Linked DNA regions of Lepisosteus oculatus. Each later gene encodes a partner of the first gene's protein in a complex. Links are inferred from orthologs where the notes say so. Each region holds a gene or a part of one and is shown on either strand. Other genes may lie near its edges.

Region 1 (9,325 bases):
CTTCTTCAAAGATGTTTTAGAAAATTAAGCATATTTTAGAAATACTTTAAAAGCACAGAAACAGTGAATACATAATACAACTTTATCCTCCTTAATGAACTCTCATAGGAAAATACAAAACCATGCTCATATCACAACCTGCTTTGTATATAATGAATTTGAATTGCTCAACAATCATGACTTAAAATGGATTTTTAAAACTTTATTTCAATGCTGCAACCAACTACATGATAAAAATACAGTACAAACCACCAACCGGCAGAGCTTCTTATACAGAAGTGAAGGAATTTTTCGTTTGTGTTGGTGCTCGTTTCCCAAGATTTTGCAGCAAAAGCACACATTGCAAAATGCCATGAAAGCACAGCTCCAAAAAAAGCAGATAATCTGTCTGGGAAATGAATCACTGTGACACCCAGCACTGAATCAGAACTTCCAGACTTCGTTTCTCCTCATCAAGGTGACTTAGACCAGGAACTCTATGGAGATATGTACGAGGAGCGGACGACATTACATTTTTCTTCAATCTGAACACCTACATTTTTCCCCAGCTGCAAATGTGGGCAAGGCAGCAACAAAAAAAGCAATGCTAGAACAGCAAATGATAAAGAATACTTTGTCCAAAAATTACGCACAAACTGCAGCAATCCTAAATTTTATCTACCACTGCAACTATTACACCCCCTGTAACGATAAGGCTATAGGCAGTGGATGAGTTTCCAAAATTCCAAAACTTGAAACCACAGTGACACTATTCCCTTTGGCGCTCAACTCAGAACGAGCAAAAATGCAGCATTCCAATATGTTCTGTTAACGAAAGCTTGATATTATCATGTACCTTTTAAAATCTGACCTCTTTCTTACTACAAAACAACAACAGAATACTGCAGTTATCTGTCCAAGCTGGGAATGACACTGTTTGATTAAAACACTTTAAGCCCTGAAACACTCAGACATAATGCTTCTCTTCTTGGCAATCAGAATTATTAGCAATGTAGGCAGTGAATTTGCTTTTTTTATTCACTGCACAAGTCTCCCCGTACTAACCTGGAAGTGAAAAAGTGCATCGTATTAACCAGAAGTGCTCTATTCCTTCTCAACATAGAGAGCAACTGCAAAATCTATTTCTGTTGCCAGGGCTCACGAGACATGTGCCTGGGTTCACAAAGCAATCTAAAGGTATTTACACATCTGTAGCTACTAGTGTTCAAGATCTGCTGCATTCTTACTTCCCGGATGAGGTAGCTGTTTCACAGTTCAAGACAGCAAAGCACAGCAAGGAGAACAATCATAAGGATGGCCAACTTCAGCCCTTTGTCTGCTGGTCTTTACTACACTTCTGATCTTACTTTCTTAATTCACCTGATGATTCAGCTAAAGGGTCAAGCCATCTGTGACCGGAATACACTGCTTGACACCCGCAGGACGCCAGCCTTTGAGGATAGACGGAAGTAGTGAGACAGTTAACTTACTTCCCGGTCAACACTGAAACATGGACATAGGGTCACACCTGACAACTAAAAATGAAGAGCACTGAGGATGGAAACCAGGAAGAGCATCTTTACACCAAGCGTAGTAAGGGTCTTGAACAAACTATGCAGCTAATATCCAGAAGCTACGCAGGTTTTCAAGAAACAAGCTGAGGTGATTTTTGGATTAACAAATATCAAGCAACCACATAAGCAAGAGTTTCTCAATGGAAACCTCTTGTCGTCGAACAGTTCAACAAAATGGGATCACAACTCAAATTATCCACTTGTACCATTATTAAATTGGCTGATATACACATCCAAAGAGGTAGATTTGTATTCGAGTGGCTGATCATTCAACAGAAGCAACCAGAGTGAATTATCTTACCCAAGGATACAACAGTACTGGCTAACCCAGGACTTTTAACTCAATTTGCTATTATGAGTTGTGAGAACAGGGTACTAACTACGACTGTCGTTTCCCTGGCTGCTATCCTGCAGAAGCCATACAGCTGGTCAATCACAATCCTCGCACACCATTTATGATGATCACCACTTTATACAAAATATATTTCTGAGGGAATTTTTAACACTATTCTCGGGTTCAAAACAGGGATCCTCAGTTTTGGTCCCAGAGGGCTGGTATATGTCTTTGGGGAAAAAAAAACAGTTAAACAGAAGGGAGAAGCTGTCAAACTGGTGCAGTTATGAGCCACTGATGAGCTGGTTCAAGTCCTAACAAGCCCATCTGGACTGAAAACCTGTTAACAACCTATATCACACTTTTGATCAGGAAACAAGACAAACTGGTGGACACCGACAAAAGCTATTACTTTGTCTTTCATAGACGAAGCGCCTTGATGGACCCCCTAAGCTTTTAAACAAAATATCAACGTGCAAACTAACGTTAAAAAGCCAAACAACAAGAGCTTAGGGGTTTAACTTCGAGAAAATGTAGACGTTACTGTTACCTCCACGTTTCAAGTGGCGAATCCGGAATCCCCCCCTCCGACACCGGCAAAGGAGAAGACAGGTCAAAGCAGAATACACGGAGCAACGCCTTGCAAAGCCAAACACCACATAGAGCAACAGCCTTCGTTCGGATAAAAACAAAACCTTTACGGTTGGTCACTCTGTCGAGTCGAGCATAAGGTCGGCGGATTGTACACGGCGGTGAGAAAAGACACCTGAACACCGCGCTCTGGCGTCGCAGGAACGGCAGGCTACACTCCCGCTTCACCGGGTCGCCACGCAGAGCTCCCGCACCGCACCGACTTCACTTGTGGGGTCGTGCTCTCGAAAGGCGCAAAACACCGTCCCAGCGGAAATACGGAGGGGTGGGCGCCTTTCATCTGCCGAAAAACGACCCCCCCAAAAAAAAGAACGGTGCAGCGAGCGAGGTGACACAAATGCAACCCCGTCGCGTTACGTAATCTCCCCGGAGCCCGGCTTGGTTTCGAGAGAGGGGCTGGCGGTCGCGTTTCAAAACAAAGTTTTGGCGAGCTCTCCCGCACCACCCCGCCCCCAGCCTGTGCTACACGGACCGCCAAAACCACGCAAATTCCCTCCCTGCGTGCGAGACGCGTGGACCTTTCCGGGAGCGGGGGGGGCACTGCGTTCCAAAAGACGGGACAACCCGTCGCGTATTTCCACCCGATGAAAGCAATCGCCGTCCAGCCCAATCGTGTAGCTTCACGGGCACCAACAACGTGTGTAGCAGCAGGCAGCCGTGGCAGCCGATGGCTTCCCGGAGACCTACCGGACCGTCACAATGCCAAGATTAACCCAAACAACTGATCATATTTTCACACGGCCGTGCCGCTGCTGCTGCTTCTTGGTTTGGGGGGGCTGGGGGGGATTTGAGTTTTTCTTTTGCCACACCGCTAAATCCAGGGACTCGGTCAATGAAGACAAAAAAAAAACCCAAAACAAAACATGCACCAGCTTATCATCAACCGGATTCCGGTCGAAATCAAACTACCGCGAAACGCGCCACCGTGAAAACCGGGTCTTGAGGAGATTGTTATTGCCAGTGTTCAGTGCGACTGAAGCAGGCAAGCGCTAATTAAGGAAAACACACTGTCGTGGTACGGACACCTCTCACCAGGCCAGCTCTCATACACACGAGCACCGTCAAAACCGCAATACAATCACACGTTCAGGGAGAAATATACATGTCAAAGAGCATGCACGGAGCCCACATATGAAGTCCCGTCCTAAATGCAAAAACTATGTTTGCGAAATAAACATATTTCACATTTAGAGGCGGGGGGGAGGTGAACCCGTGGAGTCTCTTTCTCTTCCCCGGTGCTGCAAGCACCATACAGGCAGGAAAAGCGGACAGCAGCCGCCAGACAACAAACGCTTCTTTTAACAGTCTTTCACGCACTATTCTTTGCACTTCTAAGCACCCCTGCGTGACCATTGTTGTTATACACCTTTTGATTTGAAATTTGCAGCATTTGGTGTTAATTAATCCTACCTAGTTTGATGAATAACAGCCAATCGTGTCTTCTTGCAGCTCTGATCCTCCTCCTGGCTTCAAAATGGCGCCAATTTGTCTCCGGCTGCACCAATCGAGCCACCGAGAACAGACAGTCGCGGAGGCACAGCGCCACCTAGGGGAAGATGTCCAACAGAGCGCAGCCCCAAGTTCTTTCACAGACCCACAGCGCCGCCTGCAAGACTCTCTCCTTTTGCAGTGAGATAAATATTCCGTCCCTCTCACTTGACACACACCTTGCACATAAATTAATTCCAATTTCAGTGAAGGTTTTCACCTCGGGTTACACAGTGACTACTCCAGCATCTTCCAGACACAAAATGAAATTCACACCGTGTGTAGTTGCGTATTGTCACATTAATCAATCTTGCACAATTGTTTCATTTTGACCTGCAGCTCTGTATAACGTATTTTATGATGAAGAGTCACACTTCACATAATGATCATATACTTACATTTTATGTCTAAATTGGGGGGGCTTACTGACAGGTATTTCTTGGAAAGGTGTTCATCACGATAGGCTAAAAATCCCATTGGTTAAATGTTTTGCTTTAATCGTCTTTCAATGTATGCAACCATTACGTGTTGTTCTTTTCCATACATAGTGCATTCGTAGTATTTAAGAAATTCTGTTTTAAAAATACTTTCATTAAATCTATGTTGTTCAGACCTGTGATGATTCAGAATACTGAACTACTTGATAACAGAGTGCATTTATCCCAGTACCTTTATTAATACCCTTCTGGCCGATTTGCTCCATTCCATTATCTCTTTGCTTGTTATTTATTACAAATGGTTTAGCCCTCGTTCACAACCAGTACTTGTTAATTAACTGGATTTGACTTAAGTGCCTAAATGACTAAATAAGAAGCAGAAGTGCCATATAGTAATGGTTAAAAATACATTCATTTTTTTGTAAAATTGTTAAATTCACCTTTGAATGGCGTTTAATTCATTGTTTTATTCAGCTATATGTGTTTTGTATTAAAAAAAACAGACATGGAAACAATAATTATTCTTGACTGGCAGCAAGAATGCGTGGCTCAGAGCAGGAAAGCAGAGGTCCCAAATTGGTCCGATCTGTGAAGTCGGAAAATATTCATCAATGTATTCGTAATATATTGCATGCAAAAAAATCTATTAGGATTCTCAAAAGCGAAAAGGCTGTGTTCATTTTAAAATATAAACTTTAATGTCAATGCGTTTTTAAAAAGTGATTTAACAAACCTTTGAAAGCCTGGGACTATTTCATGTCATTGCTCCTGTTTTAAAACATTGGTTTGTATTGGCTCTTAATTTGCAGGAACCTCTTCAACCTTTTCTTTAGGACACAGGCAGCCTTTACTTCCTGTGCTCTGCTTTCCAACTTTCTCCTGGATTCATGTGGCAGTAAACTGCCTTTGATGCATCTGAATAGATTTAGGTTTGCTTCGGTTTTGACCGGCGGTTTAAATATTATTACGTTCGAAAATAAATCCCTGGACAAAACAAGAAAAACGTATAAAATATTTGCCTTCAAGAAAGTTCAAAAATGTCGTCTCATGTCATTTGTCAAAGCCGCTTTATACCATACGGTGTCGGGGGAAGCCGGAGCCTACCCGGCAAGGAACGAGCGCAAGGCAGGGTACACCCTGGACAGGACACCAGTCCATCGCAGGGCAACTTCAAGCCAATCATACAGGGGGACAATTTGGAGGCCACGGTAAAGGCCGAGGGGGGGAATTTGGCCCCGACACCGGGATAACTCCCTACTCTTAACGAGAAATGCTCGGGGATCTTTAATGACCACTGAGAATCAGGACCTCGGTTTAACGTCTCGCCCGAAAGACGCAGTGCAAGAATGTACTTGTGAAAATGTTACAAAATTATTTGTTTTTATCCGAGGAACAGAATGACTCTGGAATCAGAATCATACATTAAAATAACGTGATGTATTTATGTAAATTGGTAAAATACTTAAATACTTAAAACTTTTAAAACAGTGTGAGCTACTGTACTTCCATTCATTAATAAAAATCTTTTTTATTTCTTTTAGGGTTTATTATGCCACTGACTGCAATAAACAGGTTTTCAGAAAGGCTTACTTGAGAGTCTGTCTTCACCATTTTCTAATGACCATGTTTCTAGTTCAGCACTTCTAACTTCCTGTGTTTCTAATATGTGTTCACTTTGTAAATTGCTGTCTTTATAACTTTTGTTTTACACCTAGTGCACAGCTCTTTGACATGCTACGTTTATAGGAAGTACATAAAAATGTTTATTATTATGTTACTGTGCAATAAACATTACTTAAACATTTCAGAAACACAAAACAAACAACAAAACTCCAAGTATTAATGGTGTATTTAATCTTAGAATTCTTGAAATTACTGTATTTTAAAATAATTTATCAAAAGAATTGATCATTTTTTTTAGTAGGACTTTATTTAACAGTAACAAACTGGTCAAAATATTCCAAGAGTACAAAAATGCAATATAAAACATGAATAAATGGGTTAATACTGGTAGCTCCTGCAGACTAAAAACAGTTGAAAAATATATAACCTAAAAGGAAAAATCAATGTATTGGAATGAGAAAAGTCTTTCACATAATACTGAAATTAACCAAATGGTTCCACATTAGAAGGTTCTTTTATATCACAGCTGTAATAAATAATAAAAAAAATAATTTTTTAAAATAATTAGAATTTCCAATGGTAGATCTGACATATTGAAACAGGCAACAACTCAGAACAGGACAGTATCTCAAGTTTAGTTTACACCTGTTAGCCTTCCAGTCTACTACAAAAAATAAAATCTACCAAACTGTTTTCTATGCATCAGATTTGTAATGCCTAAGAATTCTAGTGAAACTTATTTCAAGAACATCAGAAATCAGATTATCTTCTATGTTTTTTGTTTGTGTAAAAGAACAAAACTTTACCTGCATAATTAAAACTCCCTTTCATTTCCACACTTAAAACCCATTGCAAATACTGCAAATACTCAAAGTTGTTATATTTAACATAATCTGAAGAAAGAAATATTCAAAATTGTACTTTTCTGTGCCGATGTATTAAAAACATCCAGCATCTAACACATTAGCCAGAGGACAGCGTGGCAAAGCCTTGCTGCTATACTGAAGGTTTTTAATCGGATTTCAATCCTGACATTTCCAGGGCTCCTCGGAATTCAGCACTTGCCATTGTGATCTGACCATTTTGAACTTCTCCACCATGTTCCCTATGACCCTTTCTGGCACTCTGCAGCCGGATCTTCTGTTTCAATGAAAAATTGAAATGCTTCACAAAACCAGCATGATTTCCAAGTATCCTGGCATACCCACTGCCTCTCACGTGCACAAACACAAATGCATTGAAGCTGGAGTGCAGAAGATGGATAATGTTCAACACAAAGACATATCTGATTCCGTTCAAGGCTTTCTAAGTCAACGATACGTGCAGTTGACCTACATAAGCAACATTAAACCAGGAAATAAGACAGCATGACCCTCAGGCCTGACTTTGATAACCTGGCAGCAATGACTATCTCTGTAGTGGATGGCTTTTGTACCAAGAGTGATTCTGAAGAAAAGCAGCACACTTGTACAAACACGGAAAGAGCTTATACGAAAGCAATACTGGTACTGGAAATTCCGGTGTTTCATCAATTTTAGCAAAATAAGAGACTGTTCATTACTGTGATTGGTTGCTGAGTAACTATGAATTGGATGGAAGGAGCAGAATGTTCCTGGTACTGGGACAGGAGACTTCTAAGGAAAATGAGGTTGTTGCTCTAACTGGTGTAGGTGGCACTCTTGGATGAGAACGTCCAAACGAATGCACCAGAATGGCGACTAGGGACACAGCTTGAGTAGATGCTGTCTTTCAGACAAGCCAGAAATCTTGGCTACATGTTCCCATTAAGGATCCCATGACAAGCAGGGGTGTTAGCCTTAATATTCTGACTGCATCCCAATTAAAGTTTGTTCAATCTGGCCTAACTACATCTCCTCCTTTAATTCACTTGACCTGCTGTGTAGTGGGACAGCTGGCGCATAATGGGTGCTGCAATATAGGAGGGATAAATGGCCCCCCTTCTGCATGCAAAGCATTTTAGGATATCTTGGACTTCATTAATATTAATTATATCTATAATTAATTATAATATATCTATAACCACCTACAACAGTCAAGCCACTCAGAAGCCCCACATGTTATGTTAAAGAAGGCCAGTGTAAATTGCCAATCAATGCAAGAAATGTTTAGAAAGATTAGGTTTTCTGCATTATGAATCACTCAAGTGAACAGCATCAAATTCATATGATTCAAAATCAAAATAGAAAGCCATATCAGCTTTCTTTATTTTAGATCTGGAGCCTCTTAAATTAGGTAAATTAGAAGATAATTTGTGCAGTTAATCTACCTGTACAATTCCGAAGCATCCTGCTCACTGTTGCCTTCCGGTTCTTTAAAAATGACTTTATAATAATACTGAAGAGCCTGAAAGAAAATATCAATAAGAAATAATCAGCAACACAGCTTCTTCTGTATTTTAAGTCGTAACATTTAGATTAAACACAAATAAAATGAACCAAATAGATCACACTAAGTAATGCCATTAACCACAACTGAAATAAAACAAGAATTGTTTATAATTCAAGACAACTTTCATAACAAGATCAAACATTATGAATCAGAAAAGGCACAACTACAACAAAGCATCGAATAACTGGTGATCATCAGTGTAACTAAACAAAACAAAACAGAATACAGATTGGTATGCTTTGCTCAATTAAAATAAATTAAAACAATTTACAACACACAACAAACAATACAAATCTGGCGGTGTTAATTAGAGGACTGAAAATAAAACAACAACAACACACCCTACACAGTACTGGGTGTCTAAAATAGAATAATCCTAAATTATCCTGAAGTTGAAGCATGCCCCCACACCAGTGGAGTACACAGAAGAGGTGGAGCCCTTCAACACTGATCCATCAGAGACTGTCTAACATGGGCTCACCACTGGGAACACAAGGTCAAGACTAATTCAAGAACAAAGCGTGAGCACCCAGCAAAATCCATCCTTGAAAGAGGCTTCACACCTCAGCCACAACTGCTATAATAACAGCCAATAATGTCTGGGATTCAAAGTGGTAGTGCCAACTGAATAATTTTTCAATATTGGGTCAACCTGATGGTCCAACTCTGTAAGGTCATCTGCCCAAAAAATTGAAGTATTGATCCACCGGTGTCTGCTGCTACTTGACAACATTCCACCTCAAAAGGCCAGAACTGACAAGGCCAGCACTACCCCTTGTGGGTTTGAACAGTTAGACCATCCATTCTGCATGGTAGATACTGGACCTGAG
Region 2 (8,792 bases), on another chromosome or scaffold:
ACTGGCTGCTTGACTGGAGCAGCCTTGGTCTGGGGAATGCTGCGGGAGGTGACAGGCTTAGAGTCCTCATCACTGTCAAAACCAAAGGGGTCTTCAGAGGTATCATCCTCAGTATGCCTGGCTTTTTTTGGTGCCTCTGTTACCTCAGGCTTGTAGTTGGGCCTCTTGGAGCCCAGCTGTGCCTTGAAGGTGGTTTCTCCCCATTTGGTGCTGAGCGTGGCCCGCTTGTTGGACAGGACTTCATCAAACTTTGAGTTCCCATTCCCTCCCTTCCGACTGTAGGTTTTACCAAATCTTGATGTCATTGTGACTTCTGTTTCATATTCTCTGTGGAAAAAAAAGTAAAAGTCAGCAACTCAAAGTATTTTAGGCTCCTCAATTAATGCATCTTATCATGCTAGAGTCCTTTAAAATGTCAGTTTTAGTAGCATATAAAGAGAATAAAATCTCTTGATTTTCATATTTGAAATTATTTCTAAAAATACCACAGGGATATATTGAGGAATAAATAAATACAATTTGACATGTAATTTAATGCTTACTATGTTAGTTACAGTTTCTTCACTACCACAATAAGAGAATAACCTTTTCTGTAGTTTTCTTGTTGTAGTAGGTATTGAATTTTTAAAAGAAAATGCTGTTTGCCCAATCATTCATCAGTAAAGTATCAATCTGAAGTGGCAAGCCTGTATTTCAAAGCACATTTGCATTGGAACATCCTGCAGTTGCGATCCAAATTCCATAATATTCAGTTTTGCCATGGAAGGGCAAAAACTTACAAATGCAGAGAGAATCTCTCACAGGTAGATGGCTTCAAATAAATGTTAGGTCATCTCTTACAACATTTGTGAGAAACGAGGTGTCACAGCTTAGGTGAAAATTTCCCCAGAAAAAAACAGCACACTAAATTGCCAAAGCATATCACGTAGCTGGTGACCTGGTGACAAATGCACTTCCAATATTGAAATGCTGATCCAAATTCCCACATATTCTCTTCAGGTATCCTATTCAATGTGACATTATAGAAATCGCTACACTATAAATGTTTAAATATTTCACTGTTTATCTTAAAAATACTCCACTGCATTTGGTACCAAAGCACCCTTCTCCATTTTGTTTCCAAACGTAGCAGAGAAGTTAGTTGCGCAATACTGAAAGTTCTATAATACTGGGTACGAATTTTACAGTTAGTTATACTGAATACATGTAATGTTCAAGACTGTACAAGAGAAATGTTTCAGTTTTCCATTGTTATGTCTGGTGTAAGAAAGGAACATTTGATTTTTTTCTTGTAGCCGTTTTATCCGATATATGCAATACTAACGTCGATCACAAAAACCTGCAAGATTACAATTTAGAAAGATTGTTGCATATCAGAAAAGCAAAAAGTAGTAATCCACTTAAGAAAATGTGTCAAACTGGGTAGCAATTCACATTCACAAAACGTTTTAACTTGCATTTAAGGGTGGTATCTATTTATACGGTATTTTTTTTAAGTATAACAATCAGAATAGTACTTTCTACTTTGTCAATAGAAAAATCTCTTTTTCTATCTCACTATCTCACTGCTGCAGCTGACAGTCTTCCCTATCGACGTCTTTGGAATCATGAAACACAAACAAGAGCACAAAAATGGAAACTAAGAGGAAGTGCATTTAAAACTGAAAACCGAAGGTTCTTTTTGTACTAAGAGTTGTGACGTCTGGAACATGCTAGCCCATAACAGTAACGTTTCTGAAGCTGATATAATAGCTTCTCTCCAGAAAGACCTGAAGGTGATACTGAGATCATTAGCTACTACAAGTAGTAGCCTTGTGCTAGACAAGGTGAATTGCACCTTCTTGTTTGTAACCTCTTATATAATTTTTTTAAAAAGGTTTATTTACATGCTTTTAAACACTATACCGTTTTGACACTCTGTATGAAAAACAATATAAAACGCATCTTGATGATGGTTTTCCGTACGTAATACTACTTAAGAAGCGCAACATTGTTTTTGAAAAACTACTAAAATTAGTAACCCTGCTGCTCAAATATTGTACATTACCAAGTATGACATCAAATATCTTATGACCAACAGCATTTAAAATCCGTTCACTTCTAAACAAAGACCAAGCAAACAAAACCAAAACGTCCTGTATACTGAATCAACTCATGTTTTGCTTGTAAAATTAAATCATATACAGTTATATTAAATCACCTTGCCATCCGCTAACTTGGATACAACAGGCAGGATCGATTTTCTTCTCAGTACGCATGCGTGAGCCCGAGCGCATTGTTTTGGGCTGTCAAAGCGTAAAAACGATGCATTTCAAACTAGTACAAATTACAACTTATTTTCTTAAACTAAAGCTGACTGTTCTTAAATTTAACTTACAACAGTCTTGCGACGTGACTGAAGAATCATTCAACCAATGTGGTAACTGGCCGTCAAGCAAACAGCGTTTAATTTTAACATAGCACGCACCGGAACTTTCTCTTCGATTGGCAATAATCAATTTGCGTGAGAGTTTGCGGTAATCGATCCTATTAATGTGGAGACTGAAAGCCGGATATCTGCGTCACCGTGCTTTTCACAGATGTGTACTTGATCACGATCAGTTCGTACTCCTCTCAACTCATGATCCTATAAACTTCATAACGGTAATATACAAAAGAAGCGGTTGTTTTCCATCGGGCCTACAAACCATAAAAGCACTAAAGACTAGCTAAAGTGTTGAAAACGAACGTCACTTACAGGGGTTTTATTTCTACACCGTATTTTTAAGAATCGGTGAAAATATATATTGAGCTTTCTTAGCTTTCGTGTCAACACGGGGAGAAAACACGACTAATGCTGTACTCCCCCATCCTGCCCTGGGTCCATGACAATTCGCCCCAATGTCCCACTTTCGACAACACGACCAACGTCACGGTGTTTTCATTGAACTTGCAGTTCTCGCAGGTCATTGTTCAAGTTATTCGATACGTGAATCGCAATGATCCGCTTTCGAAAGAAATCTTTAAATGCTACCCGAGACATAGATTGAGGCTAGGCTCTTCTCGCTCGCTCCGCGAGGCACGCAGGCCTGACAGCTGCTTATCTCCACACCGTTATTTACACCCCTCCTCAGCCCGCACGGCTGGGCTGAAACTCGCCGAGCTGCCTGCCTGCGCACCAGCCCCCACAGATTCTGGCTTTAACCGCGACCGGGGGCGTCCGCTCGCTAAGGTACTGCCTGGCTGCGTCGCTGCGATCGCACCTGCGTCAAAAAAAAAGGCAACAGCCACCCCCCCGTTTACTCGGAGATCACCAGGCCGTGTTTGGAAACCTCCGGGCCGGCCACTCACCTCACTCACACTCCGAGGCGGCCGCTTCCCTCTGCTCGCACTCGACTGGGCCTCCTGCTCTCTCGGCCCCCTCACACAATATAAACAAGCTGGCAACTACTTCCAGCGGCACCAGCGGCTATCCCTTCGTGTAGTATAGCGAGCCCGGGGTCACCAGGGACGAGCAAAGTTTGTTTTCAAAGTTCTATTGTTGTTATTTTAATTTATCTCAAAACTCGCCTGACTCTTTTCGGCTGCGCCGCTGACTGCCATTCGGGTTCCCCCCTCCCTCTTTCCTTCGCTGCCAAAACCACCGTCACCTCGCAGCGAGCTGCCGTCTGTCCAATCACAAGGCGCAATGCTGCCCTGTGGTGCTTAAACCGCCGTTCTGCGTCCCAGTGAGTGAAGATCTGATTGGCCAACGGCAGAAGGAAACGGTTTAAGATTGAAATCAAAGAGGAGAGAGGGGGAGGGCGAAGCGTCTAGAAGGAGACGTTAATACGTAAATTCAACGGGATGATGGGATCTGTAGTGATCAAAAGCAACATTAGGAGAGCAAAGATTATGTAATACATATTGCTTTGTCCCCTTTATTTACACATCTCAGAAATGCTTTGGGTTTACGTTGTTAACTCCTAGCAGCCTCAATTTTTTACGTTTCAACGTATAGCTGCGCGTACAAATATCAGCCTTGACTGTCCTTTGGATTATATTCATATTTAGATCCGAGTAAAATAAAAATTAGGTCAGTCGATGTTTTTGGTTTTATCAGTGACTTCACACTGGAGACCACCAAGTGCATTAATGGTTATTTCATTTGCAACTGTTCCTCTTCGTTTGAAATTAAGACTGTATTTTAAAAATTCTGACACCCCTTTTAATGCACTATTAAATCTTGAATATATGCGATGAATGAATTAAATGTCTGCATTGAATTATATTTTAAAACCAACCAGTTTGCGAAGCACCGGCGCTAGGCACAGGGAGGCGTTCTGTGGAAAATTGAATTCCCCAGGTCTGCTGTCACGATACAGTGGTATTTACTGCCCTCTTGTGGCGAGGTTTTTGAACAGTTTCCATCTGTACATTTTCTTGGCACCCGAGAAGTAGTTTACTCGCCTTCTTAAAAAATAAATCTATAACCACATTGAAGGCAAACTGCACATCACCCGTGCAACCACGACAGTTATATTAGTTATTGTATTTTGTTGTGTTTTCCATGTTGTATAGAAAAACAAATAAATGAGTATTGAATAGCATTAACTTTTTGAGGTTGATTGGCGATATTGACAAACGATATAGTACGATGCGATATAGTTTTTTTAGAATGTCTACACAATGTTAATTTTCCCATTCACTGCTCTCTTCCGATATCAGTCTGAAACACTACACTTTTTCCACTGCTGTGAAGGACGGATGTTACAAGCAAGTGGTTTTAATCACTGCGGCAATCTGTCTAAAGCAGGTTTCCATAGCCACCGCGTCTCTGTTGTCGTGGGAACGGAGAGGAGCGAGTCCGTGGGGGGGATGACAGTCCAGAACAGAAGAATTCCCGTGTCACGTGCGAAACAATTGCCAGTCTCACGTTGTTCCGAATGACCGCAGCGACGTCGCAAAGTATAGCGTCTTAACTTCCTACCGCCTCCTAGGACACAGCCATCGACACAGTGGTAGTGATTAAACGGGAAGCGGGGTCGTGACTATCACAATCCGCAAAAGCTGAAGAAGCAGGTAAAAAATAGTGCCTCAAGCTTCCCACTGATCTTGGACTATGGCTCAGGTTTTGCCACGGGACGGCAGCGGCACTATTCCTCGGCTCGCTCCAGGTCATCCGCTGCAGAACACCTTCGTGCCCAACCCACCCCCGACACACATGACGCCAGCAGCTGCCTGCATCATGTAAGTGAGACGCCTGGACTGTGCTTTGCAGGTGGGGTGCTGTTCAATGACTCCGATAAAAAGCCGTTCTTTGGGGACTGCAGTTCAGCCTATAATGTCTCGTTATTGTCCTTCTTGTTTCGGCCACCAGATCTCTGCTGCAAGCTCCTTATAAAGCGCTAGAGGACAAACCCTCCGAAGAGGTCAGGGTAAGAGCTCTTTGGTGTTTTCTCTCGGAAAACAAAACAGAGAAGCCCCGAGTAGATCTCTGTGCCAAGGTTTAGACCCAGATGCACCAGCTCAAAGCAGTCTTCTGTGGAAACACAAAACACTCGCAGGGACGGATAGCCGGGGAAACAAAGGACTGGATATTCATACGAACATTTACAGTCCTTTTTGTGTTCTGTTTCGCTTGACAGTGTTTGAAAGGAAGAACAAGGGGGTAATGTAGAGTGAGGAGGAGGATGGTGGTAGCGCTCAGCCGCAGGTTCTGTCACCCAGAACCCCCCCAGTGACTGTGTTTCGCCCCCAGGTGCCCTCCTCTCCGCGCGGCCGCCTGAGGAAGCAGGCCGGCAACACCAACCGCTGGCAGCTGCCCTTCCCGCTGGGCAGCGACCTGCTCGGGCAGGCGCAGGCCGCGCGGGCCGTGCGGGCCACCATCAACGCCACTCTGCGCGGCATCAGGACAGGTGGGCACCGCGCCGAGACGCGCTGGGAGGTCCCCCTGCAGGCCTCCGCACCAGGCCTGGTCGAAATCTCTCAGCCCGCCGGAAGTGTTCCCTGCCCCGGTGCCCTTGTTCCGCGGGGGGTACTGATGCAGGAGCACGGTTAGGGCAAAGCACCGGGAGAGGTGAGGGGAATCTTCCTTACTGCCCTGCGCTCCGACCGGCAGCCCAGAGCACAACGCGGAGCTTCAGAGGGAGTCGATGGTGTGAACCTAGTTTCAGGTTGAGTTTCGCTTCTGTTGTTTTTCTGCTTTGGGAGCCGTGAAACCCTTCTCTGAGAACAGAGGCAGAAATACTGTTTTATACTAATAAAATACTGTTTTTGTTTCTTTTTAATATTGTCGTGCGGAGAGTTTGAATTCAGGGGAAAGGTGTGACGGAGCTCCAGCGCCCCTGACAGCCTGCGGCAGGTCTCTTCACTGTCGCGGCGGTTGTCCGATCACACACCCGGCAGGGTGTTCCCAAGCGCTTTCCCCCTGCCTCGTTTCCCCGTCGTCTCTCTATACCTCGGACGCTGTTTTTTTCCACGTTTTTTTTTTTTACATTTGTTTCTCAAGAAAGAAGAAGACAGACAGATTCCGTCTTAAACCTGCCAACAGAAAACAAGTGGGTGCTCAAAGTCCTAAGAGATAAAAGGGGGAAATGAGGAAGACGTCAGTACTTCAAAAGCTGCTGAATTGATCTTTCTGCGGTGGCACGTTGCAGAAGCTGTCGTCGTGAAGAGAGGGAACAGCAAACCACTCGGGAGTCTTTAAAGTCTCCTGGCAGCCATCCTAGCGCGCACACCAAGAACCTTTAATGCCCCGAAGCAAAGAGCCGGTGTGTACAACTTGTGCCATTTGAAGTCTGCCTGTGCCACACTGTGCCGGCTGCCCTGCAGCCAGTGTCCCTGTGCCAGGAGTCCTGCCTGTCAGGCGGGCTGAGTGCGCGGGCCGGTGCCAGGCACGCCAGCCTGTGTGGGGCTGACGAGGGGAGGGTTGGCGCGCACCTGTAGAGATCTGACAGGAGGCTGCTGCCAGGGGCCATCTGGAGGCTGGCTCTCGCACTCAGGCACCACACGAACGCGCAAACGTCCACCGTCGCTGGAGGGATATGTAAACTAGCGTTCTTGGCAAAAATAGCGCAAGAATCATGAGCGGCGTTAATTTGAATTCCACTCGCGAACACATGCACCTCACCTTTCTGTGGTTTTATTACTGATGAAGGCAAAGATATGCTGTACTCGTTTGCTTTATATGTCTAAAGAACAATTTGTTGGTTTTGTGTTATGCACTCATTGATTTTAAGGGAAATTCCTCCAGTATGTAGATTCTATATCTATGAACGAGCAATGCATTTGAAAATGGTTATTAATTCAAGGACAGTAAATGAGCTGGAGTTTTTTCTTTTTGAGGGCAACAGCAAAAGACTGCCACATTTGAATCTTTCTCTGGAGAAATGCAGCTCGGTGTCAAGGGAACACTCACTGCATGAAACAGGCTCGTCTTTTCCTGACTAAGTCCCGCCCTGCCTCCTGTCTGTCTTTCAGCTGACTCTCCGTTCTGTGAGTGTGAGGAGCCCACCGGCCCTGAGCCCACTCTGCCCCGCCTAGTCCTCTCGCGTGGCACCGCGACACCCACACACCAGACATGCTGGTACAGTGCCCCCCAAAAAACACAAGAAAAAATAAAAACGCTTAACTGTGACTTCGACTTTCTCCCACTTTTGAAATTCCCCCCAAAATACTGTACAGAACGGTGTCTCAGACCATTGGATTATAGAGCTAGTAAGTGGTCCAGGTTGTGATCAGTGTTGAAAATATGGTGAGAGTGACCATTGGGATGTGAAGCAAAAAAATAAAAGCCCTTTATTCCTCATGGTCTTGTAAGGCCAAGGCCTTATATGACGGCAATAATGTGTTTAATCGATTGATGACAGCTTTAATTTGTTTAATCATTTCTGTGTTTAGCAATCCCTTAGGAGAATATTTCCCAAGGGATTGCTAGTGGAGCTTGATGCATGGGTGATTCCTGAAAATTTCTGAAAGCCTGACTGTGACTCTCTTATAATTAACCCTGTCAAATGTGATATATTGCCTTTTTATGATATTTCCACAAGAACAAACGTTCATGATTGTCAGTAATTTACCATGTTTTCCAGTGTGTATGGTGTGAAACTCTTTCGGTTTACCTCTTTATTTACATATATACAGTGTGAGGCTCACAGGGTCACCTGGGCCAGCCACCCCTGAAGACCTCTTCTACCTTTACTCCCGCAGAGTCGCTCACAATACGAGCCCAGGTCAGCCTCTCCCTTCCTTTCCTGTTCAATTGCCTCTGTCTCTTCTGACTTTCTCCCCCTGAATCTCCCCTGCCCCTTTCTGGATTTCTGTCCCTCTCGCTGTCTCTCAAAAGCTCTGTCTTCCCCTCATCTCTCTCTCTTTCTCCTGTTTCTTTCCCCCATCTTCCCTTACTCCTTTCCCCCTCTCTGGCACAGCAGCCAGGGAAGCCTGCCTTATCGTGCCTGACCTACTCAAACTCAAATACAGAGGACTCCGGTCAGATAGTCTTGGCTTTTACGTTTTCCATCCTTAACTGCTGCAGTCACAGAAACTGAAGAGCCATCAAAACCCCAGATCGTTTTGATTAGATTTGATGCCAAAAGAGAGAATTAAAAGATCTCTCCTCATTACTCATCTGTGACAGCAGCCAGCACTTGACTCCATTTGATTGTTTCCTTGTGCTTCCGCTCATTTTTTTGTGCTTCTCTTTCAATGGTGTCTGCGTGCCTCTGCTGACAGATGTGATATTGGAGTGTCTGGGGAGCTACTGGGAGTTGCATTGCCCCTATCTCACCAAGTCAGTCACGCTCACTGAGCTGTACACCACAGCCAAGGAACAA

What was found.
Region 2: the proteins of pds5b (region 1) and waplb are in contact, whole or in part, in a crystal structure (PDB 5HDT), measured with the Homo sapiens proteins. The link is inferred for Lepisosteus oculatus from reciprocal best matches to the Homo sapiens genes PDS5B and WAPL. Residues at the interface, in NP_055847.1 of Homo sapiens: Gln47, Phe88, Ala92, Pro93, Ala95, Trp137, Val138, Lys139, Ser140, Asn142, Ile143, Phe145, Glu146, Glu187, Gly188, Asp189; in NP_055860.1 of Homo sapiens: Lys7, Thr8, Tyr9, Ser10, Arg11.

What each region holds. Positions count from the first base shown.
Region 1 is NC_090700.1:14,802,303-14,811,627, reverse strand, and holds the start of pds5b (sister chromatid cohesion protein PDS5 homolog B), read right to left. Parts: upstream 4,031-9,325; 5' UTR 3,949-4,030; intron 3,521-3,948; exon of another isoform or gene 2,654-3,520; intron 2,637-2,653; exon of another isoform or gene 2,438-2,636; intron 1-2,437. Other genes in the region: uncharacterized protein, read right to left, coding at 7,109-7,226, 8,374-8,450. UniProt on the Homo sapiens protein: Regulator of sister chromatid cohesion in mitosis which may stabilize cohesin complex association with chromatin. May couple sister chromatid cohesion during mitosis to DNA replication.
Region 2 is NC_090699.1:27,848,703-27,857,494, reverse strand, and holds the start of waplb (wings apart-like protein homolog), read right to left. Parts: upstream 3,689-8,792; 5' UTR 3,550-3,688; exon of another isoform or gene 3,331-3,549; intron 328-3,330; 5' UTR 306-327; coding exon 1-305. Other genes in the region: btbd16 (BTB/POZ domain-containing protein 16), read left to right, coding at 5,081-5,208, 5,339-5,396, 5,720-5,876, 7,441-7,546, 8,104-8,192, 8,692-8,792. UniProt on the Homo sapiens protein: Regulator of sister chromatid cohesion in mitosis which negatively regulates cohesin association with chromatin. Involved in both sister chromatid cohesion during interphase and sister-chromatid resolution during early stages of mitosis.